7 linked regions of the Canis lupus familiaris genome follow. The protein of the gene in region 2 purifies or fractionates together with the protein of the main gene of each other region. This does not show direct contact. Links are inferred from orthologs where the notes say so. Each region holds a gene or a part of one and is shown on either strand. Other genes may lie near its edges.

The links.
Region 1: the proteins of DDX6 (region 2) and DCP1B purify together in Homo sapiens (affinity purification with mass spectrometry; 6 studies listed by BioGRID and IntAct, counting the BioPlex papers as one, with this or other methods). This does not show direct contact. The link is inferred for Canis lupus familiaris from reciprocal best matches to the Homo sapiens genes DDX6 and DCP1B.
Region 3: the proteins of DDX6 (region 2) and G3BP2 purify together in Homo sapiens (affinity purification with mass spectrometry; 3 studies listed by BioGRID and IntAct, with this or other methods). This does not show direct contact. The link is inferred for Canis lupus familiaris from reciprocal best matches to the Homo sapiens genes DDX6 and G3BP2.
Region 4: the proteins of DDX6 (region 2) and ATXN2L purify together in Homo sapiens (affinity purification with mass spectrometry; 6 studies listed by BioGRID and IntAct, with this or other methods). This does not show direct contact. The link is inferred for Canis lupus familiaris from reciprocal best matches to the Homo sapiens genes DDX6 and ATXN2L.
Region 5: the proteins of DDX6 (region 2) and PATL1 purify together in Homo sapiens (affinity purification with mass spectrometry; 6 studies listed by BioGRID and IntAct, with this or other methods). This does not show direct contact. The link is inferred for Canis lupus familiaris from reciprocal best matches to the Homo sapiens genes DDX6 and PATL1.
Region 6: the proteins of DDX6 (region 2) and AGO2 purify together in Homo sapiens (affinity purification with western blotting; 5 studies listed by BioGRID and IntAct, with this or other methods). This does not show direct contact. The link is inferred for Canis lupus familiaris from reciprocal best matches to the Homo sapiens genes DDX6 and AGO2.
Region 7: the proteins of DDX6 (region 2) and LSM12 purify together in Homo sapiens (affinity purification with mass spectrometry; 5 studies listed by BioGRID and IntAct, with this or other methods). This does not show direct contact. The link is inferred for Canis lupus familiaris from reciprocal best matches to the Homo sapiens genes DDX6 and LSM12.

What each region holds. Positions count from the first base shown.
Region 1 is NC_049248.1:2,039,219-2,042,718, reverse strand, and holds part of DCP1B (mRNA-decapping enzyme 1B), read right to left. Parts: intron 2,560-3,500; coding exon 2,424-2,559; intron 1-2,423. UniProt on the Homo sapiens protein: May play a role in the degradation of mRNAs, both in normal mRNA turnover and in nonsense-mediated mRNA decay. May remove the 7-methyl guanine cap structure from mRNA molecules, yielding a 5'-phosphorylated mRNA fragment and 7m-GDP.
Region 2 is NC_049226.1:15,030,713-15,034,212, forward strand, and holds part of DDX6 (probable ATP-dependent RNA helicase DDX6), read left to right. Parts: intron 1-64; 5' UTR 65-338; coding exon 339-538; intron 539-3,500.
Region 3 is NC_049253.1:39,971,407-39,974,908, forward strand, and holds the end of G3BP2 (ras GTPase-activating protein-binding protein 2), read left to right. Parts: coding exon 1-248; 3' UTR 249-3,002; downstream 3,003-3,502.
Region 4 is NC_049227.1:18,508,087-18,512,136, forward strand, and holds the start of ATXN2L (ataxin-2-like protein), read left to right. Parts: upstream 1-1,250; 5' UTR 1,251-1,387; coding exon 1,388-1,689; intron 1,690-2,254; exon of another isoform or gene 2,255-2,334; coding exon of another isoform or gene 2,335-2,372; intron 2,373-3,226; coding exon 3,227-3,263; intron 3,264-3,444; coding exon 3,445-3,501; intron 3,502-3,588; coding exon 3,589-3,660; intron 3,661-4,008; coding exon 4,009-4,050. UniProt on the Homo sapiens protein: Involved in the regulation of stress granule and P-body formation.
Region 5 is NC_049239.1:37,542,373-37,546,464, reverse strand, and holds the start of PATL1 (protein PAT1 homolog 1), read right to left. Parts: upstream 2,801-4,092; 5' UTR 2,770-2,800; coding exon 2,755-2,769; intron 817-2,754; coding exon 705-816; intron 1-704. UniProt on the Homo sapiens protein: RNA-binding protein involved in deadenylation-dependent decapping of mRNAs, leading to the degradation of mRNAs. Acts as a scaffold protein that connects deadenylation and decapping machinery.
Region 6 is NC_049234.1:35,808,913-35,812,412, forward strand, and holds part of AGO2 (protein argonaute-2), read right to left. Parts: intron 2,896-3,500; coding exon 2,762-2,895; intron 1,102-2,761; coding exon 917-1,101; intron 1-916.
Region 7 is NC_049230.1:19,181,382-19,185,674, reverse strand, and holds the start of LSM12 (protein LSM12 homolog), read right to left. Parts: upstream 2,801-4,293; 5' UTR 2,688-2,800; coding exon 2,564-2,687; intron 757-2,563; coding exon 623-756; intron 1-622. UniProt on the Homo sapiens protein: Nicotinic acid adenine dinucleotide phosphate (NAADP) binding protein. Confers NAADP sensitivity to the two pore channel complex (TPCs) by acting as TPC accessory protein necessary for NAADP-evoked Ca(2+) release.

The sequences.
Region 1 (3,500 bases), on a different chromosome or scaffold from region 2:
AATTGTCTCCAAGACCACAGAGGAGGGTTTCTGTGTGTGTGTGTGTGTGTGTGTGTGTGTGTGTGTCCCGTGTTCTTTTATGAGACAGTCAGGTGCAGCGACAAGAGGAGACTGTGGAGGGCATCCCTGGATGGCTCAGGGGTTTAGCACCTGCCTTTGGCCCAGGGCGTGATCCTGGAGTCTCAGGATCGGGTCCCACATCGGGCTCCCTGCATGGGGCCTGCTTCTCCCTCTGTGTCTCTGCCTCTCTCTCTCTGTCTCTCATGAATAAATAAAATCTTAAAAAAAAAAAAAAAGAGGAAACTGTGGAGAGAGGCTCAGGAAACCAAAATATACTCAGAGGTCCTAGAAGCAGGAGGCACAGTTCACCCTGCAGGGCCACCTGTGGAGGCCTCAGGGTGGGCAGGAAACACCAAGCAGGAGCAAGGGGAAAGCCAAGGCAAGAGCCTCTATGGGGGTTGCTGCACTTTAGGATTGGCTAGTTGGATAATTTTCAGTAGGCTTTAAACACTAGGGTGGTCTCTAGTCCCAGGACCTGAGATGACTAGGGCAGAGGACTAGCCTCCTGGGGTGCGGGGGTCAGATAGAGGAGGGACATCGCAGGGTGGTTAGTTTGCAAGTCAAAGGCAGCCTACTAGCCCAGGGGCAGTCAACTGGGTGACTCAGCTCTTGATCTCAGGGTTGTCATTTCAGGCCTTGTGTTTGGCTCCATGCTGGGATGGAGCCTACTTATAAAAAAAAAACAAAAACAGAAACTTGGCTAGCCCAGGGAGGAGGATTCTGGTCCCAACCAGAAGACTTTTAAGATGCCAAAACACCATAAAATAAAAATAATAAAATATGTGTGTGTGTGTATGTGTGTGTGTGTGCGCTGAGGAGGGAGGGAGAAGAAAGAAAATAATTTGTTCAGTATTTGCATTTATTATTTATTGGCCATTGTTATGCTGCCTCACAGAACCTAAGTTCCTGGAGGGTAAAAATGTCATTATTTTTTAAATTTAAAATTTTTAAATTTTATTTATTTTTTTAAAAAAAGACTTTATTTATTCATGAGAGACACACAGAGAGAGAGAGGCAGAGGGAGAAGCAGGCTCCATGCAGGTAGCCTGACGTGGAACTCAATCCCGGGACTCCAGGATCACGCCCTGAGCCTAAGACAGGCACTCAACTGCTGAGCCACCCAGGCATCCCTACATTTTTAATTTTTAAAAAAAGATTTTATTTATTTGACAGAGATAGTGTGAGACAGCATAAGCAGGGCGAGCAGCAGAGGAAGAGGGAGAAGCAGGTTCCTCAACGATCAAGCCAATGTGAGGCTTGATCTTGATCCTAGCACCCTGGGATCATGACTAGAGCTGAAGGCATATCCTTAACTGACTGAACCACCCAGGTGTCCCCAAAATGTCGCAATTTCAGATTAATCTGACATAGTACAATCAGGTAAAATATAATTAATTGATAGTTGCTAAGTCATTAGAATGTTTTTTAACAGCTGCTGAAGAATTAAGCAAAATGGAAAATACAGAAATCATTGTTACTGACCGCATATGAGATTAAAGTGTCTCTGTCCCAGCCCTCTGATCGAAGGACAATGAAACTATGATTAATTCGTATTCATATACATTGAGTCAATCAACAACCATTTATTCAGCACATATGTGCCAGGAACATAGAAGACAACTAGGCTTATGAAGATGAATACAGGGTGTTCTCTGTGCCCAAGGAGCTCACAGTCTACCAATCAAGGGTAAGTCAACCATCAAACCAAAGGCATCCTGGAGAAACTTGGCCAGTTGTCCTTTAGCATGTCCCACTTCATTCAGGAGTTTTCTGATTGCTTCCTTGGTGCCATTTGTTTTCTGCCTGCCTGTCTCCTCTCTTCCCTTTTATTTTCTGTAAATTCGTAAGTTTAAGAAAACTTACAAAGTGGATGACTAGAGTGTATCATGCTAAGTGAATTAAGTCAGAGAAAGACAAATACCTTATGATTTCCACTCATATGTGAAATTTAAGAGAACAGATGAACACTGGGGAAGGGAAGGAAAATCAGGACACACATACTTTTCCATTTGTTCAAGTCTATTTTTATGCCTATCAGGAGTGTTTAAACGTTTTCTTCATAGAGGTTTTGCTCATTTCTTGTTCATTTTATTCCAAAGAATGTTATATTAATAGTTGCTACTGTAAATGGCGTCTTCTAGGAAAATTTCTGACTGGATACTATTTGCATATAGGAAGGCTGCTGATTTCTTAGGCTACCTTTTCATCCACTTAAAACAAATGGTCTTCTTTAGCCTGCTAAAAGCAAATAGAGATTTAATTTTTCATTCAATTTTATTTGGTGGAAGGAATAAGCCTTTCTCAACAAGCATATTACCACCATAGGATTTAAGTATGTTTCACAAGGGAAGACAAAAACTCACCTTGGTGTATTCATCTTTGGCCTTGGTGAGCATTCGTAAGATATCTACTTCCTTGCCCTCTCCTGAATTGAGGATCATTGGGGAGTTTCCTGCTCCAGTTCCCTGATGGGCTTTCAACTGTTCATATTGAGTTAGGCTAGAAAAATAGAGGTGAAAATCCACACAAGAAAAACGAACTTAAGTGGCTTTTAAAACCATCTAAGTCCCACTCACTTGTTTTATCTTGTTATAGTCATAGTGGAAGTAAGACTGCTTAGGAAGTGAAAGAAGAGTTGAGATCCTGAGTATACTGAGTACATGTATGAACCTAGAGGAGGAGTAGGCAAACTATGTCCTAGAGGCCAAATCGGGCCCACTACCTGTTTTTGTAGAGAAAGTTACAAACAGCCACAATTACTGGTTTATGCGTCACTTACACTTACGGCCAGCTCTCACACAAGGCCTGCAGAGTTGAGTAGTTGTGACTCGCAGAGCTGGAAATACTATGTTTTTTTTTTGTTTTTTTTTGTTTTTTTCCAGAAAAAGTCGGCCAACTCCTCATTTAGAGCATTCTTAAAAGGACTCATTAATTGCTGAGGAAACCCAATTCAGAGTTCTCAAACACTGAGCAAACTGCACGGCAAATCGAGATTCCCCTCCCTTCCTTGTTTCAACGTGCCTTGAAGTCAAAGCAAAATTGATTTCAGCAACTCAAATCCTATAGTCCTCTGATAACTTAAAACAGCGAAGATTCCATTCTAGAAGACAGGGCATTAAAAAAAACTTAGAGCAATGAAGAGGTCTTCTGTTTCCCTGAAAACAATACAGGAGGGAGACCAGGTTGCTCCTATATGGTGCTAGGTGACACTGAGAAAAACACCTTTTCCTTTTGTGTGCTTTGACTTTCAGCTCAAATTTTTATAATTGCCATGTCATTTATGGTAAAAGAGACCTGAGAACTTACGGGGAGATTTAATTCTGAAGGGCTCAGAATCCACACATATCAGCTGCTTATTGCTAGTCAACAATCAATTTTCTGCCCCAGCTGTTAAGTAATTACTGCAGAATGCTAACAATTTGAACATGGTCTCTTGGCTG
Region 2 (3,500 bases):
AAAGGGAAAGTTTTTTTTTTCTAACTTTCCTATGTTTGCTAATTAAACTTTCTCTTTGTTTCAGATTGAAGTGAGTGAATTCAAATATATAATTCAACCTTGTTAGAGGGCTTTTTAAAAAATAAAAAGTTGATTCGGTGCATGAGAGCAAGTTACTGCTGCATACCGTTCAGAGACTTACAGGTGCTTGCCTGCATTGCAATAAAGGACTCATATATTGAGCAAGACTTATATTTATCTCTTCGTTTTGGAGAGCCTAATAAACTGTTATTACAGTTTCTCTACTGACTTTCAAAAGTTTTGAAGTTTGAAAGAGACATCTTTACAATTAATACAGCATGAGCACGGCCAGAACAGAGAACCCTGTTATAATGGGTCTTTCCAGTCAAAATGGTCAGCTGAGGGGCCCTGTGAAGCCCAGTGGTGGCCCCGGAGGAGGGGGCACACAGACACAGCAACAGATGAACCAGCTGAAAAATACCAACACAATCAATAATGGCACTCAGCAGCAAGCACAGAGTATGACCACCACTATTAAGTAAGTGTTCGAATAAATAATAAACAGGCTTGTTAGACCAAGATTTCTTTCTGCTACTTTGTTGTTGACTACTTTAGACCTTGTTTTAACCATTTTGTTTGCAAAGAAAGTACAGAGGACTGTTTTATGGGTGGGTATTTGCAATTGAATAATGTATTTTTTGTCATAGTTCAGAGTCATTAGGTAACAGACATGATATATATTTTGTATACATTACTTTTTGAAACATTTCTGGCTTTCATCAGCTCAGATTCATCTTGTTTTTGCCAATATGGCTTTTTCCCTAGTGTTACAACTGTATTTTACCTTAGTATAAATGGTAGTTAAAGCCAATTTCAGTTTTTAAATTTAAAGACTGGCCCAGACTCCTGAATCCAGACATATACCTCACTGATAGATATTTATCCATAACTTTTTTTTTTTTTAAGATTATGGGACTTTAGTTTTCTACTTTAAAAAAAAAAAAAAGGCTTTCTCCTTTTACACACAGAATTACAAGCAGTTATATATCATAAGGTTTTCAAGATTTTGAACTCTTGAAATATACAAGACTGAATACTCCCAAGTCCCTTTGTTGACTAAAAATTTAAGAGTTTCATCTTATTACAGAACATTTTTTTCATTTAAATTTGCTATTTGTCGGGATCCTTGGGTGGCGCAGCGGTTTAACGCCTGCCTTTGGCCCAGGGCGCGATCCTGGAGACCCGGGATCGAATCCCACGTCGGGCTCCCGGTGCATGGAGCCTGCTTCTCCCTCTGCCTATGTCTCTGCCTCTCTCTCTCTCTCTCTCTCTCTCTCTCTCTGTATGACTATCATAAATAAATAAAAATTCAAAAAAAAATAAATTTGCTATTTGTCATCTAAGTGTTGACTTTAAATTATTTGAATGATAACTGTCACTCTAAAGATTCAGTTAATGAATAATCAACATAGAAGACTCTTGATTCAATTTCACATTTGGCTTTGTTGTTGAGTCTAGCCATAGAGATTGATTTACTCTTGAAATCTTTGTATGTTGAAACATACAAATGTTGAAACTGGTTCCCTGAATTAAAGTATATGTTATATTACAACCTAGATCTTTTCTATGCCTAAAGAGTACTTCCTAAAGAAAAACTAGCATTTAAAAGCTACTAGACTATCATACAGATGGTTACTTTTTTTTTAAGATGGTTACTTTTATTGATATCCTAGTGACCTCTAAGAGTTAATTCCCAGTGGAATTGGTTTGATCATTGGGAGAATTGGCATGAGTGCATTTTTTTTTGCATATTTTAAGCTTTAATTAGTATATAAAGCAAGAATATTCTCTAAATTGTAGTTTGTCTTGACAAAGTATGATTTGGCCAGCAAAATTTAGGCTATTGTTAAACCTAAAGCTGTGTTATTTCATTATTTTATGCTTAAATTCTGATTTCAGACAATAGATTTTGCTTTTTCTTTTTTGCTCTGCCTGGGATTAATGATTTCTTTTTAATTCTGTGGGTTCTTTAAATCTCATACTGTCATCTCTTCCACGAAGGCTTCTAGGTCCCATCACTGTCTTCAGAACTCCTGTAATATTTATCTCTATCACTTATTTCACTTTCTCATTTTAAATAGTTTGGGTCTTTTATCTCCTAAGATTATAAATTCCTTGTGGTAAGATTTTCCATTGTATTTCTGCAGCTGTATTCACTTTATATTGAATATGACCATGGCAAGCTGGCCTACTAGGATGTTCAACTGACATTTTTGCTCAGAAACTGCTGGTGTGTTTTATAAAGGCGTAGGTGAAGGACTTTGGTACCCTTGGAATTGGTAGCAAATAGTTATCTCTGTTAGAGTATCTACCCAAAACTATGTGGGACCAGGACGCCAGGGTGGCTCAGTGGTTGAGTGTCTGCCTTTGGTTCAGGGCGTGATCCTGGAGTTCCGGGATTGAGTCCCACATCAGGCTCCCTGCATGGAGCCAGCTTCTCCTCTCCCTCTGCCTATGTCTCTGCCCTCCCCCCCCCCCCTCTCTCTTTGTGTCTCTCAGTGAATAAATAAAGAAAAATCTTAAAAAAAAAATTCTGTGGAACCTAGCTTTAAATGAAGTAAGTGCTCATCTTCCTAAATCAAGACTTGAGATGTTTTGGAGTCTCTGATTATATAAGAGTTGCTATAATGAAATCAGTAAGAAAAAAAATTTTATTTTAAAGATTTTTATTTCTTTTTTTATTTTTTTATTTTTTTTAATTTTTTTTTTTTAAGATTTTTATTTCTTTATAAGAGAGAGGCAGAGACATAGGCAGAGGGAGAAGCAGGCTCCTCACAGGGAGCCCAACGTGGGACTCGATCCCAGAATCCTGGGATCACGCCCTGAGCCAAAGACAGACGCCCAACTGCTAAGCCACCCAGGCTGCCGAAAATCAGTGAAAATTTTTATTTAAAAATGACACAATTGAAAGCATTATCTGCTTTATTGGCCAATTTTTTCTTATTAGATGCTTTGAGTATTATTTGAGGTTTTTACCTGACCGAAAAGAGTTCTACTCTATTTTCTTGGTTTCTCTTTCACGGTTTCAAGCATTCTCAGTAAAAAAAAGTTGAGAGATAGTGAATAACAGATGATCCTGAGTTCTTTTTTTTTTTTTTTTTTTAAGGATTTTATTTATTATAACAAGGGTGGAGGGGGGACAGACTTCCCACTGAGCATAGAGCCCTGATGTAGGGCTTCAATCCAGGACCCTGAGATCACGATCTGAGCCAAAGTCAGACACTTAACCAACTGAGCCACTCAGGTGCCCCCTAAGTACTTACTTTGCCAGGAACTATACTGAGTGCTTTATGTAAATTATTTGTTATAATTCTGAGCCCCCTTTATAATTCAGAGAATTGGAGGCTTAGAAAAGGAACTGCTGAAAAGTCACAAAAATAATTAGTCAGGGCTTAACTTTGGTTCTGAAACTTTAGACCCCTTGGTTTTAACCAGTCACC
Region 3 (3,502 bases), on a different chromosome or scaffold from region 2:
GCTTAAATGTGGAAGAGAAAAAAACAAGAGCTGCAAGAGAGCGAGAAACCAGAGGTGGTGGTGATGATCGCAGGGATATTAGGCGCAATGATCGAGGTCCTGGTGGTCCACGTGGCATAGTAGGTGGTGGAATGATGCGTGACCGGGATGGAAGAGGACCTCCTCCGAGAGGTGGCATGGCACAGAAACTTGGCTCTGGTAGAGGAACCGGGCAAATGGAAGGCCGCTTCACAGGACAGCGTCGTTGAAGCTCCACTGTTTACAGAGTCTTGGCAGTGGTACATTATTCATCGTGTTTGCATTCTTGTTAATTTTTTTTTTTTTTTTTTTGGCTTTGGAATGTGACACAGCCTTTTTGATCATTTCTTTGATGTGAAAAGCATCTTTTGGTTATGAGTTAAATTGAGGTGGACATTATTTCCCCAATTTCACAACAGGATTCACATTGTTAATTTATAAATCTAGACTTGGAGAATTAAGGACTGAGAAATGACCATATCTTAAACTGTCTACAACAAAATGAACTTAAAAGGACATGCCCAACTGAAATCAGGTCCTTTGAGTCAAAAAAAAAAAAAAATCCTCTGCTGCACATTTTGTTTAAGTGTTATTGTTTCTACCTGTTAATGTTGGAAACACAAATAGTGCAATTTGTGCAATTGGAGAATCTTGCATTTTTTCTTGGCTCTCTCCCAAAATACAACCCAACAGAAACTTGTTATGCACTCATCAAAATGCACTAATGGGTACTCCTGAACTCATTAACATTGACATCTGCAACAGGAGGCAACAGGGGGAAAAAATCTTTCATCTTTTTTTCCAGTAGAGAATAGTTTGTGAAATGATGAGGGCATTTTATCTGCTTGCAGTGACCAGCGTGTGTACACATAAACCTTAACAAGACTACAAGTATATTCCAGAAGGGAATCATTTAGTCATGAACTCTAAATAACAGAAATCAGAACTTCAAATGCTATGGTCTTGAGTATTAGACCAGATTTAGTAGCTCCATATCTAAGATTTTTCTACCTGCCCCTCTTCAGTACAGGGATGGCTGGCTGCTCAACACACTCCTCCCTTTTTCCTTTCTTTAAGCTATGTACAGTGAAAATTGTCTTTACTGTATTTTTGTTCTCTGGTAATGTAATAAGCATGATGGTGCCTTCTATTAATACATCATTCCAGTCTTGCTGGTAATTTTGTACAGTTTAGTGTATGAATTGCTGTGCTGCAAAGTCAAACAGCTGCAAAATGTTGAAAAATCATTGAAGTGTATAAAAAATTGCAGTATCTTTAAAATCAGTAAAATTGACTAGCATATTATTTACCTTGTTCTTCAGTTAACAGCTTTGTGTTCTCTGTGGGAGGGAGTCTTGTGTGTTTGGGAGGGAGAGGGAAGGAGGAAGTCAGTTATTTGAGTAAGTCTCTTACTGACTTTTAGCATGAATGTGAACGTTGAAGTGTATCACTTGAGAGGTGCTCGGAAAAGCCAATCAACTCGATGTACATTTTTTATGACATTTTGAAAGCAGTCAGATTCCATAAATGGCAAGTAAACGAAGTGAGGATACTGCAATTTTCAGAGAAAAGAACAGCATCTCCTAAGTGTTTGCATTTTCTATTTGGGGGGCAGGGAACTGTCATTCATTTTGCACAATTCTTGAACTGATGTCAGCACCCGAGTGGCTCTGAATTTAAGTCTGGGACGACATCTTTTATTTTTACATGGATCTCTAAATTCTGTGAGCAAAGTTTGTAGCTGCTGGATTATTGTCTGTCTTTATTGCAAGTTCCAGTAAACCGCAAGTATGGCGAAGGATATCCAATTTTATGCTTGGAGCATTCGGGTACATAACAGTTTCTGATGTTTCAGGCTAGGAGTGAGGTAAATTAAGTGTGACCACTTAAAGCTGCTTGTTAGCATGGAAGACTTCTCCATTCTTAGTAAAAACAAATTTAAAAATGCACTTGACATAGTAGCAAACTGGTTCTGAATTATAAAACTGTTTGCTATTTAGTAAACTAGCAAATGATGCACATATTTTGTTTTTCATGTACTGGGCAATATAATGAAATTAAATCTGTCCTTCTTTTCTCCCTTGAATGAGGTCTTCCATGTTTGGGGAAAAGTCTTGCACTATTGCATATATTTTGGGAACACAGATTTCTCATAGTTTCCATTTTGGGGGGCTTAAAGATTTTTTTTTTCCTGTTGGAACACTTTTACACTTTCTAATGTATAGTACTTGAAGTTCTTACCAGAAAATTACTTTTGAGTTTTGAAGCCTTTTTTCAAACTACTTTTAAATAAGTGGTTTATTGTCAGTGTTTTGTTTTGTTTTATAGTATATTTTTCCTCTACTCTTTTCTTTCCTTCCCGTTTTAAATATATATATAATTTCCAATCTAGGATATTGCCCTGCCACCCATGAAAACTGTGTTCTGGCACCAAAAGTAATGAGAAATGTTAAGTGTAATAGAAAATTAAAGAGCCATTCAGCTTCAGTCTCTACATACCATGAATAAAACATTAAAACATCACATGGAGAAGTTTACATGGTGATTGTTCACCTGCAGTACTGTGGACTTTTAACATTTTGTCCCCTTTTCAGTGAACCAGAGTAAAACTATTCATTGACCATTACTGTTATTTGCTTTTTTTTTTTCTTTGTGATGGTAATATTCTATCCTTATGACACTATTGCAACCAAATTGGCTTTACCATCTTGGCTTTAGTAGGTATAGAAGACAATGGATTACCATCTTTATTGCTGTAATGTGTTAAGCATTATATGCTAGTAGAATCTAGTTTAATTGTTTCGGGTGGAAAAGTATTCTTTGAGTTTCCATTTTGAATGTGTTTGGATTTAACAAACAATAAACTACTGATGTCTGCAGCATTTATCTATGTCCCTAATTTAATCTATAGGTTTGTGTTCCAAAGTATTTTTTCCCAATTGCATTTCATACAACCTAAGTAAAAATAAGGAATTGTTCTAAAACCAATGGCTGCTTGTTTGTGAAATTTGATTTCTAAAAAAGTAAAAACAAATATTTAAGTATGACTGAACATGATTAGAGATGTATCCCAGTTCACTTAGGTAACTGGTATACACGTTAAAGAATAGCAGAAGAGAATAAGTATAAAGAAGGTGAGAATGATCAAAATCAGACCACTTATTAAACGTTTAGAGAAAAACCAAAACTTAAGTTTTCTAAAGGATTGGTACCTCTTATCTCAGAAGGACATCTGAAGTTATAGGCATGACTCAATTCAGAAATTGGAACGAATTTGTCAAGCTCTAAAAGAATATTAAATGGAAAATACATACTTGCAAATGTGACTAAGTATTTCAAATGAAAAATTAGGTCCTAATGCATATATGATATTAGAACTTGAGACTTGTTAAAAGGGATGGTTATGAATGATTTTTTCCTGCTGATGTATTTGTAACACTGTTCATGAGGATTCCTTGAATCAGTCTTCACAAGTTTGTATTGG
Region 4 (4,050 bases), on a different chromosome or scaffold from region 2:
AATGCAAATCTGACCTCCTGGTTTTCTGTGAAAGGCTCCCTGCTCCTTTGAAGACGATGTCCCAGTCTCCTTAAAAATCTAGTCCCAGGTTCCTTACCTCTCCAGCCTCATTTTTTTTTTTTTTTTAAATCTCTTTCATTTTATACTTCTGCCACGCTTTTTCTTAACTTGGCCACATTCCCCTGCCTAGAAATCCATCACCCAACGCCGGATTCAGTGTCACTCCTCTCTGCTCTCATGGCGCCCTATGCTTCACCTAGTGGATGTCCTCTACCGCCAGCTTTACCTCGGGGAGGACAGGACGTGCTTACATCACGGTTGTATCCGACGCATTCAGCCCCGTGTTCTAACGCCCAACTAATTTTGAGGCCATAAAGCCTGGTTTCATTGAAGAGTTGAATGAGGATCTTTGAATTACACCTATAGGTGCTCTGGCCTTCTGTCTCTGTTACTACGGTGTAAGGGTTCGTTCTAGGGCACGGAGAAACCATTTAGGTATTAAACCGTCGACACTTAAAACGATTTCGGATCTAGCGCAGACTTCTCTGTAACAGGCGGCGTTTCAAGCCGGTACCTCCTAAGGTCCGCCCGCCTTCTCCTTAAAGCAGACAAGGTCCCGAGTAACCGCTCACGACGCCTCGGACCGGCCTAAGAGGGGCGCACGCGGGTTTAGACGTGGGATTTCTTTGCACTAGACTCCGCCCACGGGCCCCAAACGGCGGAAGAACCGCGCGCCCCGCCGTGACACCTCACTCTGCGGCGGAGGCATCCCGACGCTTCGCCGCCGGCGTAGGCGGGGCGGCCGGCTCTTCCTTCCTCACGGCTACTTGGGCTCCTCCCCCCGCGCTTCACACGCTCATTGTGAAGCGACAGCGGCAGCCAACCTCTAGGGCTGTCTGAGACCTAGAGACCCGAACCCCTTGGCGCGCGTGAGCGCCCGCGCCGCTCCTTCCGCACCCCAGGGGCCGGGGGCGCGCGCGAGACTCGCCTTTTTATTCCCCGCTCCGGCCCGGAGCCAACCGCCCCGGCGCGCGCGGACCTCTCGCGCCGCCGCTCCCTCCTCCCCGCCCCTCCCCCGTCGGGAGCTCCCGCCCGCGCGCTCCTCCTCCTCCCCTTTCCCCGGCGACGCGCACGCGCGCCAGGCCGGCTCGCGCCCTCTCGCTTTCCTCCGGCCCGCGAGACCCCCCTCCCCTTCCGCCTCGCGGCGCTTCCTCGCGCCGCGGTCTTCTCTATCCACCCCCGACATCGCGGGGCTCCCCCCGCGCCCGCCAACGGCGGGTCCCCGGCTTCCCGAGCCCCCTTGCTTCCCGCGCTCTCCGGCGGGGGCCTAGCCCCGGCCTCCTCTCTCCCTCCCTTCCCCCTAATTCCCCTTCCGGACGCTGCCATCATGTTGAAGCCTCAGCCGCCACAACAGACCTCCCAGCCCCAGCAGCCGCCCCCCACGCAACAGGCCGTGGCCCGCCGGCCTCCCGGGGGTACCAGCCCTCCCAACGGCGGCCTCCCGGGGCCCTTGGCCTCCGCCTCGGCTCCCCCAGGGCCTCCCGCGGCCGCTTCTCCCTGCCTGGGGCCTGCAGCCGCCGCCGGGAGCGGGCTCCGCCGGGGAGCCGAGGGCATCTTGGCGCCGCAGCCGCCGCCGCCGCAGCAGCAACATCAGGAGAGGCCAGGGGCAGCGGCTATCGGCAGCGCCAGGTGAGGAGGGGTGGGCTTCCGGGCGCTGGTGCCGAGGCTGCGGGGCGGCGGCGGCGGCGGCGGCGGCTCCGGCCCAGCGGCCGGGACCCGAGGACCCTGCGCGAGGCGGGCACCCAGTCCGGCCACCTTGGCGGGGCGCCGGGGGGGAGTGGGGAACTCCCGCGAGGCTAGGGGCGGGCCCCCTCCGGTCCTAACAGGTCGGAGGGAAAGGGTCCCCGCGCGGCCACCGGGACATTTGGGGGCCGTGCTCAGCTCTCAGAGCCTCGTTGGGCCTCGGGGCTCGGGCCCTAAGGGCAGGCGGGGCGCATCCCCCCAGCGCCGTCAGAACGAGGCTTTGGGGGGGCGAAGAGGTGATCGGGGTCCCCGGCTCCATTACCACGAAGGGTCTCGCGGTCCCCGGCTTCAGCCAATAGGGAGTCAGCTGCGGGAAGGGGTCCCCGGCCGTAGCCAATGGAGGGGGGCGCGCGGCCCACAGTTTGGCCAATGGGGAGGGAGGGACTTGGGAGCAGGTTGCTACCTCCCCGTTCCCGGTCTGGCCAGTAGGAGGGGAGCGGGGTGGGCGGGGGGACGGAAGGAGGGACGCCTGGGAGGACTGCGGGCTGGGAACCTCCAGCGCGCGCGCGCTCTCCCCGTACGTGCGCGCGGATGCTCTGTCTCATGACCCGGGCGTTCGTGAGCCGAGGGTAACCTATAGGGCAGGGTTCGGAAGTGTGCGTGGACGGGTTCGCCTGGTGTTTGTGGATGAGTCGTGGACACCGCACTCGGTTTCTTCTGTGTGTGGGTTAATGGAATTGAGAGTGGCGGTACACGCAGGCGCAGTGGGTTCTGGTCGCGGGAGGGGGGATTTTGGAGGCCCGTGGGCTTTACTGCGCAGGCGCGAACCGGGCGAGGCCTCCCCGTGGATGGCTTTTGCGGCTGCGCTGTCCCCCAGCCCCGCCAACGGCCCCCTCATCGCCCTCCTCAACCGCCGGTTACATCAGCCAGCGAGGAGCAGGGTAACCAGGCGATCGGTGACCCCTCCTGGAGTGGGTGGTATTGAGTAAAAGAGGTCGAGAAGGGTGGGTTGTAAAGGGAGTACCCTCCTCCCAGACTTTGGGGCGTAGGGCTGGTGAAAATGATTGTCTTTTCTGTTTGAGAGGTAACGTACCTGAGCTAGGTGGTTCTGAATCTGCATTCCCTGAGCTTTCACCTCTATGTCTAGGGTGGATTGTTGGTTAACGACTACTGTAGCATTGCTTTCTTGGAAGCATGAGGCCCTGGTCTCTTGGAGAAAGTGAGAAGGTTGTGAATTGACAACCGTTGTTGATCAAGGTCTTATTTTTAGTGGCATTTGGTGGAACGTGTTTCCTGACTTTTACTGTCTATGCCTTTCTTCCTCTGAGAGGTGAGAACTTGAAAATCTTGTTGATTAATTGGTTGGTAGTCTAAATTATTTTCTCAGGGTATGTGGTTCTAGGAAACCGAGTTCTTTGAAATTAATTCTATAAGACGGATTGAATGTGGTTAAGTAACTAGTTTCTCGTTTCCTTTCTCACAGGGGACAAAGCACAGGAAAGGGACCCCCACCATCACCGGTGAGTGCCACCCCTCACCCCCAAAGTACAGAGGAACGTGTGGGGATATAGGACAGATCATGTGCACAAATAGTTGGGCTCAGAAGAGCTGGGGCCCAGCACATACAAAGTGGGTGTGAGTGGAGTGTGGGTATTCAGAAGGAAGGTGAAGTGCTGACTAGCTCTTTTATGTTATTGATAGGTGTTCGAGGGTGTCTACAACAATTCCAGAATGCTGCATTTTCTTACAGCTGTTGTGGTAAGTTGGTAGCTAAACCCTAGGTTGTTTGAGACGAGTAAAGCACCAGTTTGCTGGAGACACTTTTTTTTTTCTCCACTCTTCCAGGGCTCCACTTGTGATGTAAAGGTGAAGAATGGTACCATATATGAAGGTATCTTCAAGACTCTGAGCTCAAAGGTTAGTGTACTCAAAATAGTTTATTTTTGGAATTTCATGGGAGGAGGAGGATGAAATAAGCTTACTGGAGATGTGAGTTGAATAGCATTGGACAGCATTGTGTTACTCATTTCTGTAGCTCTGTGCCAGAGTGGTGCTGGAAGCAATAAGAAATGTGGGTTGGAAGTTTGAGGACTGGGTACTTTAATGTTAAAATACTTAGTCCTGGGCTGATGTTGAGAAGGCTGTTTGTGAGAGATAGTGTGGTGTTGGGACAAGGTTGGAAAGAGTAAAAGAAAAGTAGTCATATTTTTACCATCACATTTCCTGATATTGACCCTTTACTATTCGGGAATGGGACTTTTATAGTTTGAACTAGCAGTAGACGCTGTACACCGGAAAGCATCTGAG
Region 5 (4,092 bases), on a different chromosome or scaffold from region 2:
TCCAGGATCTTTATTTCTTAAATTTTATCATGTAAGCTTGTTCCCTAAGTTTCTCATTTTAGTAATTATAACTCTGAGCCATGTTTACTCTGGCTCTTTAATTTTTTACCTTTTTCTAACTCCTAAAATATTTATCTATATCCAGGAATAGGAAAATTTCATCTGTGCCCAGCCCTTTTCTAACTTATGAAGACTTCCTATCACCACAATTCTTAGAATGAAATGCTTTTTAGTTTATTGAAGATACTATGTAAGCCAATAGTGGGGTCACACAATACATCACTGATTAACTGAATTTTAAAACATATATACCCAAGTCCAAGTTTTCTTTTAGTCTACTAGTTTTCCAAGTTATATATTCCACAAATAAAAACTTCCTTCTTCCAGGATTATTTCAAATCTTCATAAAACGTCTACTTGTCTAACTATTTGCATGCCTTACAGCATCAACCTAGAACCACAGATAAAACAGCTGGAAGGCACTGGACTCAGAGAACACCTGGTTTTATACATAAATAAGGCAAAACAGGGGCCCAGGGGAGTGAAGTAGATGCTTCCAGTGAAGACTAAACTATTTGAGACTTCTAAGAATAGAATATTTTGCCAAGTTTTTGAATGCAGTTACTCTAAGACAAATCACTTATACAAGAGAATATTTGAAGAGCAAGAGATCAAGATGACATTACAGGAGAAAGATGTCTTACCAACAGCACCTGACCCAAATGTATCATCATTGAATTGATCAATCTCTTCATCTTCTTCTCCTAAGCCCTGAAATGCATCTTCATCTTCATCCAGGGGACAATCCTCTAAGGACTAAAAAAGAAAGAAGAGAGCTTATTAGGTATTCATGAAGTTCACACCTTCATTTAAAAAAATGCTCATTTTGTCCCTCCAATCATCAAAATAGCTTATGACCTCTTGTAAAGACAGCATTTTTTTTTCTGCCCCAATTTCCCTGACATTGGAAGATGGCAGTATCTTCTTTCAGTTTCTCTTTTCCCAAACACTCCATTTCTCTATCAAGAATCTAGTGTTTCTTCAAGCAACCAAGAAATTAGGCTCCTAACTTTTTTGACATCACTGGTTAGAAGTAATGACAACTGAAAACGAACACTTTATCATTATTGAGTTTTATGTATGTTTTTCAACAGAAGCATCATGTTACTCATACTCATGTCAAAATATCAGTTACTTTATTATGTCCTTTTACAGCCTTCTCTTCATTTTCCACCCTTCTGTTTTCTGTAGGCCCAAACTCTGAGGATGAAACAGAAAGCTAAATTTTCAACCTCAATTAAGTGAACTCTGGGAAAGCCATGATATGGTGAATTCAAGTTCTGGCTTCATTCTCACAAGAGAATGGCGCAAACTTGGCCAAATCGTATTCTGGTTAACTCGTTAAACACCTCTCGAGTACCTACTGTGTCTCCAGCTCTGCGTTAGGCTCTGAGTGGTAACAAAGGGACAATACCTTAGAGAGTTGTGTGAGGATTAAATGAGGCAAAGATTTGGCAAAAATTGTGGACTGCTGAACGATGGTAGTATCAGAACAATTTAGGTTCCTTCTGCTTTAAGCATTTCCCCTCTCCACTTTAGTTTTCCACTGATTTCTTATTTCTCCAAGTTCTCTTTTGTGTTGGCAACTCTGCCTACTGCACCTCATCATCTCTCTCCATGTTTACATCAAGTCGGTTCGGTCTTGAACCATTCCTATCAAGTATCAAGTACACGTGTCCCCAATTTTCAAAGACTCAGGCCACATATCAATAGGCAAGCCTGTGATATACCGTGCCGGGCTACGTCCTGAAGCAGGCTGTTCCCAAAGGCAAGGTTAGGCCAAGAGGCCATCCTAACCCGGGTTAAGCCCTCCCAAAGTTCCCCAAAGCAGGCATGCGACTGCCTCCGCAGCAGAGGCAGCTTCCAGCCGCACTGCACTCCCTTCCAAATCACAAAAGACCTACTTAACCAAATCACTGCTTTTTTAAATTGTGAAGCTTCTCAGCGATCACCTGGAGCAGCCTTCCGTCTACAAAATCCAGAAACTTTCTGTCCAGAGACTAGGAGCAGCTCAAGGTCAAAGGGTGAGTTAGCGGCAGGGTCACAGGACTCCCGACTGTTGCTGCTGCATTCCCGGGATGGTCAGCGAGCCCACGTCTCCCTCCACTCGCCCCAGAACAACTTCTGCGGGACACGCCCCCTCCCAGTTCGGAGCCCGGTTTGGTAAACAGTCTCGGGCCCCAGGAAAGGGCGAGTCCGGGGCCCCCCTCCCCCCGCCCCACGACCCGCCCGTGCCCGAGCCTCCGGGTGTGTGTGTAACCGGAGGGGAGGGGGTTCCGGGTCCAGGGCGGGAAACGTGTATCTAGGCTTTCCCGGGAGACTCTTCCCGAAGGAGCGCCAGCCGGTGGGTGCAGCGCTCTGCCCCCCCGCGGCTCCCGCCGGGGGTGGGGGTGGGGGTGGGGGTGGGGGCGGGGGCTGCTCAGGTCACCGCACTTAACGGGCCCTCCCCACCCCAAAACGGAGGCCAACTCTCCCCAGCCGCAACTGATAGGGGCAGTCCCGCCCCCTGGAGCCGGCTCCGCGCCCTCGGACTAGAGCCGCGCGCGACCCCAGGCCCTACGCGCTCCACTCGGTCCCGCGTCCCGCCGCCAGCCGCCCCCGCCCTCCCCTCCCCTCCCCCCCGGGGCGCGGGGGTGAGAGAGCAGAGGGGGCGCGGGAGGGAGGGAGGGGTCACTTCCGGTCGCAAGAGCTCACCTCGTAGCGGAACATTCTTGGGGAGGGGGGGAGGGAGCGGGGAGGGGAGTGGGGGAGGGAGGGAAGAAGCGCTGCCGCCCCGGGCTCCTCCGCGCGCGCGGGTCCTCCGCCGGCTCGCGACCCCGGGCCGCCGCCGTACGCCGGAGCGTGCGTGGGAACGTGCACAGGCGCGCCTCGGGGAGGGCGGCCCCCGCTCGGCGCTCGGCGCCCGGCGCGGCGGCTGCGCGGGGACAGATTTGGCGTCCCGCTTCCTAGTCTCAGCGGCGGGAAGGAGGTCCCGTGGAGAGAGACTGCGCACGCGCCGCCCGTCGGGGGCTTCCTCGCGAGCCCGACTCGCAGCCCCGCCCCCCGCCCCCCCGCCGGCTTGTCAGCGCCCGCCCCGCGCTCAGGGCCGAGTCACGAGTTTTCCGTCACCGACGGGGCGGAGAGAAACTCGTGATTGCCACAGGCTCTGGCTCCGGAGGGCCCCGGGCTGAGCGGGCTGGCGGACGCGGAGGTGGCTGGGCCGTGTCTCCGGCGGGCGGCCTCGGCGGGCCCGGCCGGGCCTTCGTCGGGGGCTGGATTCGTCGCCGCTCGAGCCGCGCGTCACCCGCTGAGTCCACAGCAGGTCGGAGCCGTGATTTATGTGTGTCGAGGGGATGACGGCGCCGCGCTCCTCCAAAGCGGGGGCTGGTTCCGGGAGGTCCGACCCGGGCGATATTTTTAGGCGCCAGGTGCTCCGGGCAAGTGGCGCGGGGGAGCCGGCAGAGGTCGGCGGGGCCACGGAGCGCCGCCCCCCGCCTGCGCCCCGGGGGACCCCGCCCCCCCCACGCCCAGCGGCCCGATCCCGGGAAGGCGCTGCTCCGGGGCTCAGCCTCCGCGCCCTGCTCCCAGGGGGCCTGGAGGGTCGTCCTCAGCCTGCGCCCCGGGGGACCCCGCCCTCCCCCCCGAGTGGCCCGAGCCGGGGAAGGCGCTGCTCCGGGGCTCAGCCTCCACGCCCTGCTCCCAGGGGGCCTGGAGGGTCGCCCCCCGCCTGCGCCCCGGGGGACCCCGCCCCCCCCACGCCCAGCGGCCGGAGCCCGGGAAGGCGCTGCTCCGGGGCTCAGCCTCCGCGCCCTGCCCCCAGGGGTCCCGGTGGGTCGCCCCCCCCACACCCGTGCGGGCGCCGCGCAGGCCTCGTCGGGCCCGCTGAGCTCACGGAACTAACTCTCACTTTTCCCCGTAAGGACTAAACTGCAACCACGAAGAACTCATTCCTGTGCGTTTCGCAACTCCTCTCTCCGCGTGTCTGAAAATGCAGCTTGGCCTAGGGATGGCAGCGGCGAATTCCTCACGTGTGAATCAGAGCCTGAGTCCGCA
Region 6 (3,500 bases), on a different chromosome or scaffold from region 2:
CTGGCGCTCCCGCCTAGAACGCTGCCTTCTATCGCAGTGCTCAGGGTTACGAGCAAAAGCTTGGGTTGTTAAAAATAGAGACGCTGGCATCCTCGAAATTCACAGCACATGCAAAGCCGACGTGAAAGAGCTATCGAGGCCCACACCCCTCAGTTTCTGGATTCTTGCACGGAGCCATGGTCAGCTCCCTGGGCAGTGCTGTGGGAACGGGTGACTTGTGGATGGAAACACCGATGGTGTCATCTGCGTTCTTGGATACGTAGCTTGGAGGAGAGATGCACGGCTTTTATGTATCTAATTCGATCTGAGGGTCCAGTTGGTGACACCACCTGAGCGTCACGGCCCCCACATGCCAGAGGTTCTCATCCTGACGCCACCTCTGCTGGGCACCTTTGGGTCCCGCAGACTTCCCACAGCTGTCCAACAGCAACCCCTCCCCCCTCACCTGTCCTGGAGTCACCTGTCCGCCACCCCCACCGCCCTGGGGTCCCTTGGATGGGGGGCTGCTCTTTGAACTCTCATCACAGGGGCTGGCTAAGTTTCAGCTGAATGGATGCACAACTGCCCTGCTGGCGTGAAGACTCTGATCACCTTCCAGAGAGCTCCAAGGGGGCACAGAGATGGCCACACCTGGACAGCGGCCCCCGGTGATCACTGCATGTGCACCGAAGGGGCATTCCTCCACCCGGCCAACATCGAGTGGGGTGGAATAAAATAACCACGCACATGCTGGCCTCCAGGAAGTGGTCTCAGCGCTGATGCGGGCGGCCCTCGGCACTTGCCTGGCAGTTGTCAGAACGTCCCTCGTCCTTCTTAGCTCATGAATGGGGCAAGCACAGGCATCCCTCAGTGTGGCAAAAACACCAAGGAGCCGGGCTGCACCAAACACCCGGGGACCCCGAGAGTGAAGGCCTACCGTAAACGGGGGTTTTGCCAGGCAGGATGACCACCACCAGCTGAAGGCCAGCATACGTATTCTTCAGGTGCCTGAACATGGGCTCCACGCTATCCGCCCCCTGGGCATATTTACAGAAGCACGGCTGGCCCTGGATGGGCATCCCAGCGTCCCTCGAGATCTTTCTGAGCTGCTCCGTGAAGGATCTGAAGGAGAAAGCTCATCAGGCTTGAACGCATGGCGGGCGCCCAAGAATCCACCCCAACCAGGGACCCCAGGGGAAGGGCACAGCTTTAACAGCCCAACCCAAGCCACTTCCACTGGTGTCCGAATCCAAGGGTCAGACCTGGACAGAGCCATTTCTATGTGTTAACTCAAGGCAGAGGTATATGCTACACGTACATGCGGGTTCCTAAAAAGCCACTCCCAGCTGTAGGGGCTGGTGCGGCTGCCACCCACTCGGCAGGCCCGACCAGCACCTGGGTCCTGGGGCAAGACGCAGGACCTCGTCAGCGCCAAACACTGTCAGAGAGAGGGAAGCCACCAACCCACAGTCCCCTTGGACTCGCCCCCATTATTCTTGAACCGCTTGGACTTGGGCGACACAGCCGTGGGAGAGAGCAGGATCGGCCACAGCCAGGGTAACACCAGCAGCTGCCCCGGCAGGCCTGGAGAGGCCACCCCCACCCCGGGCGGGGGGCACACACAGGGCAACAGCTTCTATTTTAAGCCCAGAAGTAAAAATAACGTCGCCTTCGACAGTTAAGGATAAGGACACTCGATCCAGTGGCGTGAGTGTTCATCCTCCTATACGTCGATGTGCTTAGAGACGTGTGCATGCGTGTGCATCCGCATTTACACCTATGTGTGAATTCACCGCAGGGCTGAGGCCACAACACGGGGAAGAGGTACCTGGGGTTCAGCTGCAGCCGCCTTGGCTTCCTAAGCTGCTCTGTGCGGCCAGCTCACGCTGCCGGCAGCGGGGACAAGTAGCCCCGACAGCCTTTCACCCCTTGACGTCTGCTCTCGGTGACTTTGAGCCCCAGCTTCTCAGAGGCGGCCTTCACCAGCATGTTAACCAGCTCTGCCTCTCAGGCTCTGAGTTCCCTCCTGCTTCCCCGTAAGACAGATGGGAAGTAGTAGCTTCCTTTCCACTGTTGGTGTTTTGGACACAAAAACACAAACGACAAGGGCACCTGGGTGGCTCAGATAGGCGTCTGCCCTCGGCTCAGGTCATGATCCTAGGATCCTGGGATGGAGTCCCACATCGGGCTCCCTGCTCAGGGGGGAGCCTGCCTCTGCCTCTCCTGCTGCTCCCCTGCTTGTGCTCTCACTCATTCTCTCTCAAATAAAGACATGAAATTATCTTGATGGGATGAGCCCTGGATGTTATACTGCATATGTTGACGAACTGAATTTAAATAAAAATATGTTAAAAAAAAAAAAAAAACGACCGACGAAACTGCATATTTTTGGTGCTACTTTCAAAGGGGTCTGCTGCCTGGGCCACACCAGGGTGATGCAGAAGCACGAGGCCAACGTGTTTTCTTCAAAGTAAGTTGAGTTCACTGAATATAACTTTTTCTTTTGCATAAAATTTTCAAATTTACTTGTTTACTGTTTTATCTCTTATATAATCTCCATCACTTTTCCACACTCCCTCCACCAATGAGTCTGAGAAGTAGAAGCAGCCTTGAGGCGGCCCACGTGTCCTGGGCCAGTGCTCCCTGCCAGGGAAAGGCCACCAAGCTCGGCAACGGCACTAAGTCCACGTCCCTGCCGGCCTCGCACCCCCCTGCCGGCTGTCCCTCCCCCCTGCCCCCCATCCCGCCCAAAGCCAGGCGCGCCTGACCCCGGTGGCCTTACTTCAGGTGGACTTCTGTACACTGACGCTGGGGGGCGAAGCACGCAATGGCCCACACCTTGATCTCAATGCCTGTGTGAAACTGCTTGTTCCTCATGTCCCACACGCCCTGGACAGGGGTGGCAATCGCTTTATTCTGCAAATGGCAAGAAACTTAGGGTGAGGGAAAATGGGAAACATGTCCCCACCGCCGATGCTGTTACTTTCCCTATGGCTGCTGGTCCTCCGACCACATGGTGCTCCTGAGGCTGAGAACTGAGCCTCTGTGCAGCCTCCCATCTCCGGCCTGCCCAGCAGTGCAAGTGGGCTGGAGATAACGGACGGATGGACAGACGAAGAGCTGGACAGGAGAGGAGGGACGGATGGATGGACGGTGGAGGGAGGGGTGGATAGAGGCCAGGAGAGCAGAGAGGCCCAGAAGTCCACACAACCTCAGGGGCAGCCCCGAGGAACGCCAGGGCCTCGTGTTGCTATAGGAGGGCTTTCCTGGGTCAGAACACGCTCTCATCTACTCTGCCTCCTCCATCACCACACAGGCAGGCAGGAGGGGAAGAGAAGTCAAGGTGCTCCTTCCCAGTCCCGGGCCGGGGAGCAGACGGACCAGCTAGGGCCCCCCCACCCCACATGCCACCGCATGCGGCTGTTTAAGGATGGAAGCTGCTCCCACTGGTAAAGACAGCAAGGGGCGCATCCACTGGGGCTTGCCATTTCTGAGCCAGAAAGGACCAGACCTCAGCACTG
Region 7 (4,293 bases), on a different chromosome or scaffold from region 2:
ATACATGAAATTTTGCCTGATAGAACTCATGAGCCAAAGTGATTTGGGGGTGTAAGATTAACATGTAAGATACCAACATGTAAGATACCAACATGTAAGATTACTCTAAACATCTAATTCTGTCAGACCTCAAAATTCAAACATAAAGACAAAAATGAAGCTTTAAGGCAGTAGTTTTCAAATTTTTGTAGGTCATGAATCACAGATCTGCAAAATACTCCATATGTTCACCAAAACCATATATATTCATGTGTGCACACATACACACAATTTCAGGAGGTTCACAGACATCACCCCTACCCAACCCCACTAATACCAGAAGTTCACGCACGGACTCCAGGTTTTTAGAAAACAAAACAAAAAAAAACAGCCCTCTTTCACTAAGGACAAAAGTAAGTTTGCAATTTTATTTCTCTATTTGGGCATTAGAAGGTTTCTTAAGTCTGAAGGTACGCAGAAATAAGGAGAAACCTAAACCGGTATGTTTTTCAAAAAGGTATCAGAACAAACAATTTTATGTTAATGGAAAAAATGAAAAACAACAGACAATGTATGTATCACCAAGAGCCAAGGAGTCTCAATGTTTCCCATTTTGGAGCCAGAACTGCCCGCAAGTCCTTACCTTACTAACATTGAGTGAAGCTAGGGGAGGAGGGGTTTCTGTTCGGTCATTAATTATTTCCACTTCTGAAACATACTGTAAGTTTATGAGCAAGATATCTGCATGGTTGGGCTTTCCACTGGAAGAGGGACATTCTGGTGAAAAAAATAAAGTTAAGGAAAATAGAGGCAAACAGCACTGACGCATCCCAAAAGGGGCATGGAAAACAACTGAAATGAGGCTGGTGTAACAGGTGTGCCACGAGCAAGAAGGGGGAGCATTACAAGAATCCTAGCTCTCCTCAGGAAATCTCTGCCTGTCACCTTCCACCCGCTCAAAACCCCAGAACCAAAAGATCTCAAGCTTTTCAAAGCCAAATACCATCCAAAATTGGAAGCCTCAGAAAGGGTTTCCGTCACCTCTCTACTGGTTGTATGGAAGCATAATGCAGTGTTAATGCCATATATAGAGTTTGTCTTGGACCTAAGGAACCACACAGAAGAGGCATTACTCTCTGTTCTTGGTATAATACTTTCATCTATATACTGCTCTTTTCACTTTTTTCGATTTCAGATTTCCCATTCCGCAGAGGAGAAAACTATAGGACTGGAAAGGAGGCTCACTCAAGGTGAACCCAGCTACTTAACCCATTTATCTATATATGTATTTATTCATTCATTCATTCACTCACCCCTCCTCCAACTATTTATCAAGAGTATATTATATGCCAATTAAAAATAAAGTAATTCCTCATTCCAAAATCCTTCCAACTAACCCACTAATGTAAAAGGTCTTATTTGGTCCAGGTCTGAGTTTTTACATTTTACCCAAAAAAAGCAACAGTTCTTGCTGTAGAGGACATCTTCCTAAGCTAAAAATATCTACAACTAGTGGTTAAATAAATTAAAATACTTGCCACTCAAATGCAGCATTCAGTAGAAAACTTCCTTTTGAAAGATGCCATAAAGGATTACTCCTCAAAAAAATAAACCCACCTGTGGCTCAAAAAGAGGGGAAGGGGTGGTACATTTATTACAACCAGGAACTATTTTGTTTCCAAGACTGAGTTTCCTGGAGTAATTCAGAAATCATTTCCACCCCAAAGAAGCAGGCCTTCTTTTCCATTCTGTTAATCACCACCACTTCCAAAAGGGGAGGCAACTACTATGGAAAAGTCAGGACTCCATGTGCTGGGCTGAGCAAGGGAACGTAACTTACTCTTTCACCTGTAACCCACACAACCCTACACGAGCCCCTAAAAACCGTGGCCTTCTCTCTGGGACCAGGTTTCCAATGGAAACATTCTCAAAACAGCAATTTTCAAATGACTGAGAAACCTCATTCAGTACTCCCCGCCCCCAACAGCACCACGCACACACACACACCAGCAAAATAAGCCCCTATCCCCATTTCAGATACAAACTGTCCTGCAGTTACTCTCCCCCCAAAGCAGGCGAGGCCCATTTGGTCACCACCCCACCGCCGTTCCTTGAACCAAATCCTCCCAGCAGACACCCCCTCCTAAACTCCATACCCCAGCCCTACTAGCAGCTCTTTACTCTACACACCCCCTCCCCACATGATTCTACCCGCCCCCCTTCCATCCGGGCTCCAATCCACCAGCCCCCTCCCACGACCACCCTCTCTCTCTCTGGAGCACTGTATCGCCTCTCACAGCGTTTCCCCCGAAAAGGCATCCGCGTGTCAAGCCCCCCTCCACCCACTGACCCTCGCTCGGGGCCCAGCTCCCACAAGGGATGGGAGACAGGGTCCCCAAAGCGGACCGAGGGACACGCGAAGAGGGGGAGGGGAGCTCAGGGCCGTGCGCATGCGCTCCGGGCGCCGCGGTAGCCGGTCGCCCCTAGGCCCGGAGAGGGCCCCAGCCGCCGCCGTCGTCCCCCACCCCCCCACCACCACACATACACGCCGGCCCGGGCTCGGGCTCCGCGCAGCGAAGGATACTTAAAGCCAGCATTTTGGACTGGTAGTCGAAGGCTACCACCTCGCCCTGCAGCCGCTGCTCCTGGCACGTCCGGCACGACACCTGGCTCCCAACGCTGAAGTACTCGCCCGGAGGAGCCGCCATCTTGGGAGAGCAGCCGCGGCCGGCGGCGGCGGCGGCAGCAGCGGGCGAAAGCCGGGCCCCCAGTGAGCGCCGCGACGCGACGCACGAGGCGTGCTGACGTCACACGCCAGGGCGTGGCCTGGCTCTGGGTGGGGCGGGAGCCTAGGTGGAAAGGGAAAAAAGAGGAAATAAAGGGGATCTGAATAAGTGTTTGTGCAACTGCGCCCGCTTATAAAGTGCTTGCAGAGTCCATTTTAGAAGTTAAAGATAAATGACCTACGTGGCATGAAAAGAGGAAGGAGAAGGGAGCTGCAATCTCTATTATGTGCACACCTTGACACAAGACTTTAATGAATGAACTCTATTTTACATAGAGTAATCTGAGGCCCAGAGGTCTTAAGGAAACTTGCCCAAAACGATTATACCCAGTTACAAAGTACTAGTGGGAAGAACATGGCCTATAGGATTAGCTAAACTAGGATCGGAGTCCCAGGTCTGCCACTTAACTAAGTTCTATAACCTTGAGCAAATTACTAACCCTGACCCTGTATCATTACTTTTTCTATATTATTACTTACTGAGCATCCAACAATCTATTGAGGTGAGAATCAACATCTTCAGTTTACAGATGAAGAAACAAAAGTCTTAGACTAAACTTGGCTGAGGTCGCACAACCGGAAAGAATTCGGTCTACCTGTTTCCAAAGACGGTGCAATTTACTGCATTAAATAATACCTCCTAGAGTATTAGGAGGTTAAGTGAGATAATGTGTACAAATGAATGCAGTTCCTCCATGATCGCTCATCACCCTTGGAACTCAAGATGCTTCCACATCTCCTCCCATCTTGTCCTCTCTAGAAAGCCAGGCAAAGGGCAGGAATGTGGAGCAGTGGTAGTGACAAAGGTGGCCTTGGGGCAGTTTTGGCCCTCCCCCATTAGTGTCCATCTGATATACGAAATCCACCTGCTCTCATCCCCCATAGAAATTCTGGAGCCTCATTTATGAGTAACAACAGGTTGATCTTTCTCTAATCCAGAGGGAGGCAAAGGGCCAGCCTTGGCACTACCTAACCTGAACACAGTTCAAAAGCGTTTCCTTACCCTGCAAGAAACATCAACTTCCTAATGTTGGGTGTTTATTAGTACAATCATTGTAGTAGGAATAAAAGTACTGCTTGCTCCCTCTTAGTTGTGTTTTTCCAGGGAACTTTCAAGTCTGACCCCCACAAGTCACATGTAACTCCCGCTCCACTTTCTACATGGCATTGTGATTACAGTTTTTCATATATATGACTGCCCGGTACTGTTAGGAAAAGCTTCCCGGAGGAAGTGAAAAAAATCTGAGACCTGAAAGACAAGCAAGATCTCTATAAGGAGAAAGAGCTTGGTGATTTCAAGGAACATAAAGCAATTCAGAAATATTATGAAATGGAGTTGTGGGGGTAGGCTGGTAAGGGTTGTCTCACCGGAGCCTGAACAAACTTTGAAAGACCTAGAAAATGTAGGCTTTCTCCTTGGGGCAATTGAAAAACATTTAGCAAGGTAGTACAATAACATATCCAGCTTCCGTTCCCCACACCTTTTTAATTAGTGAAATTAATCTCTTTCCAAGAACCATATTTACATT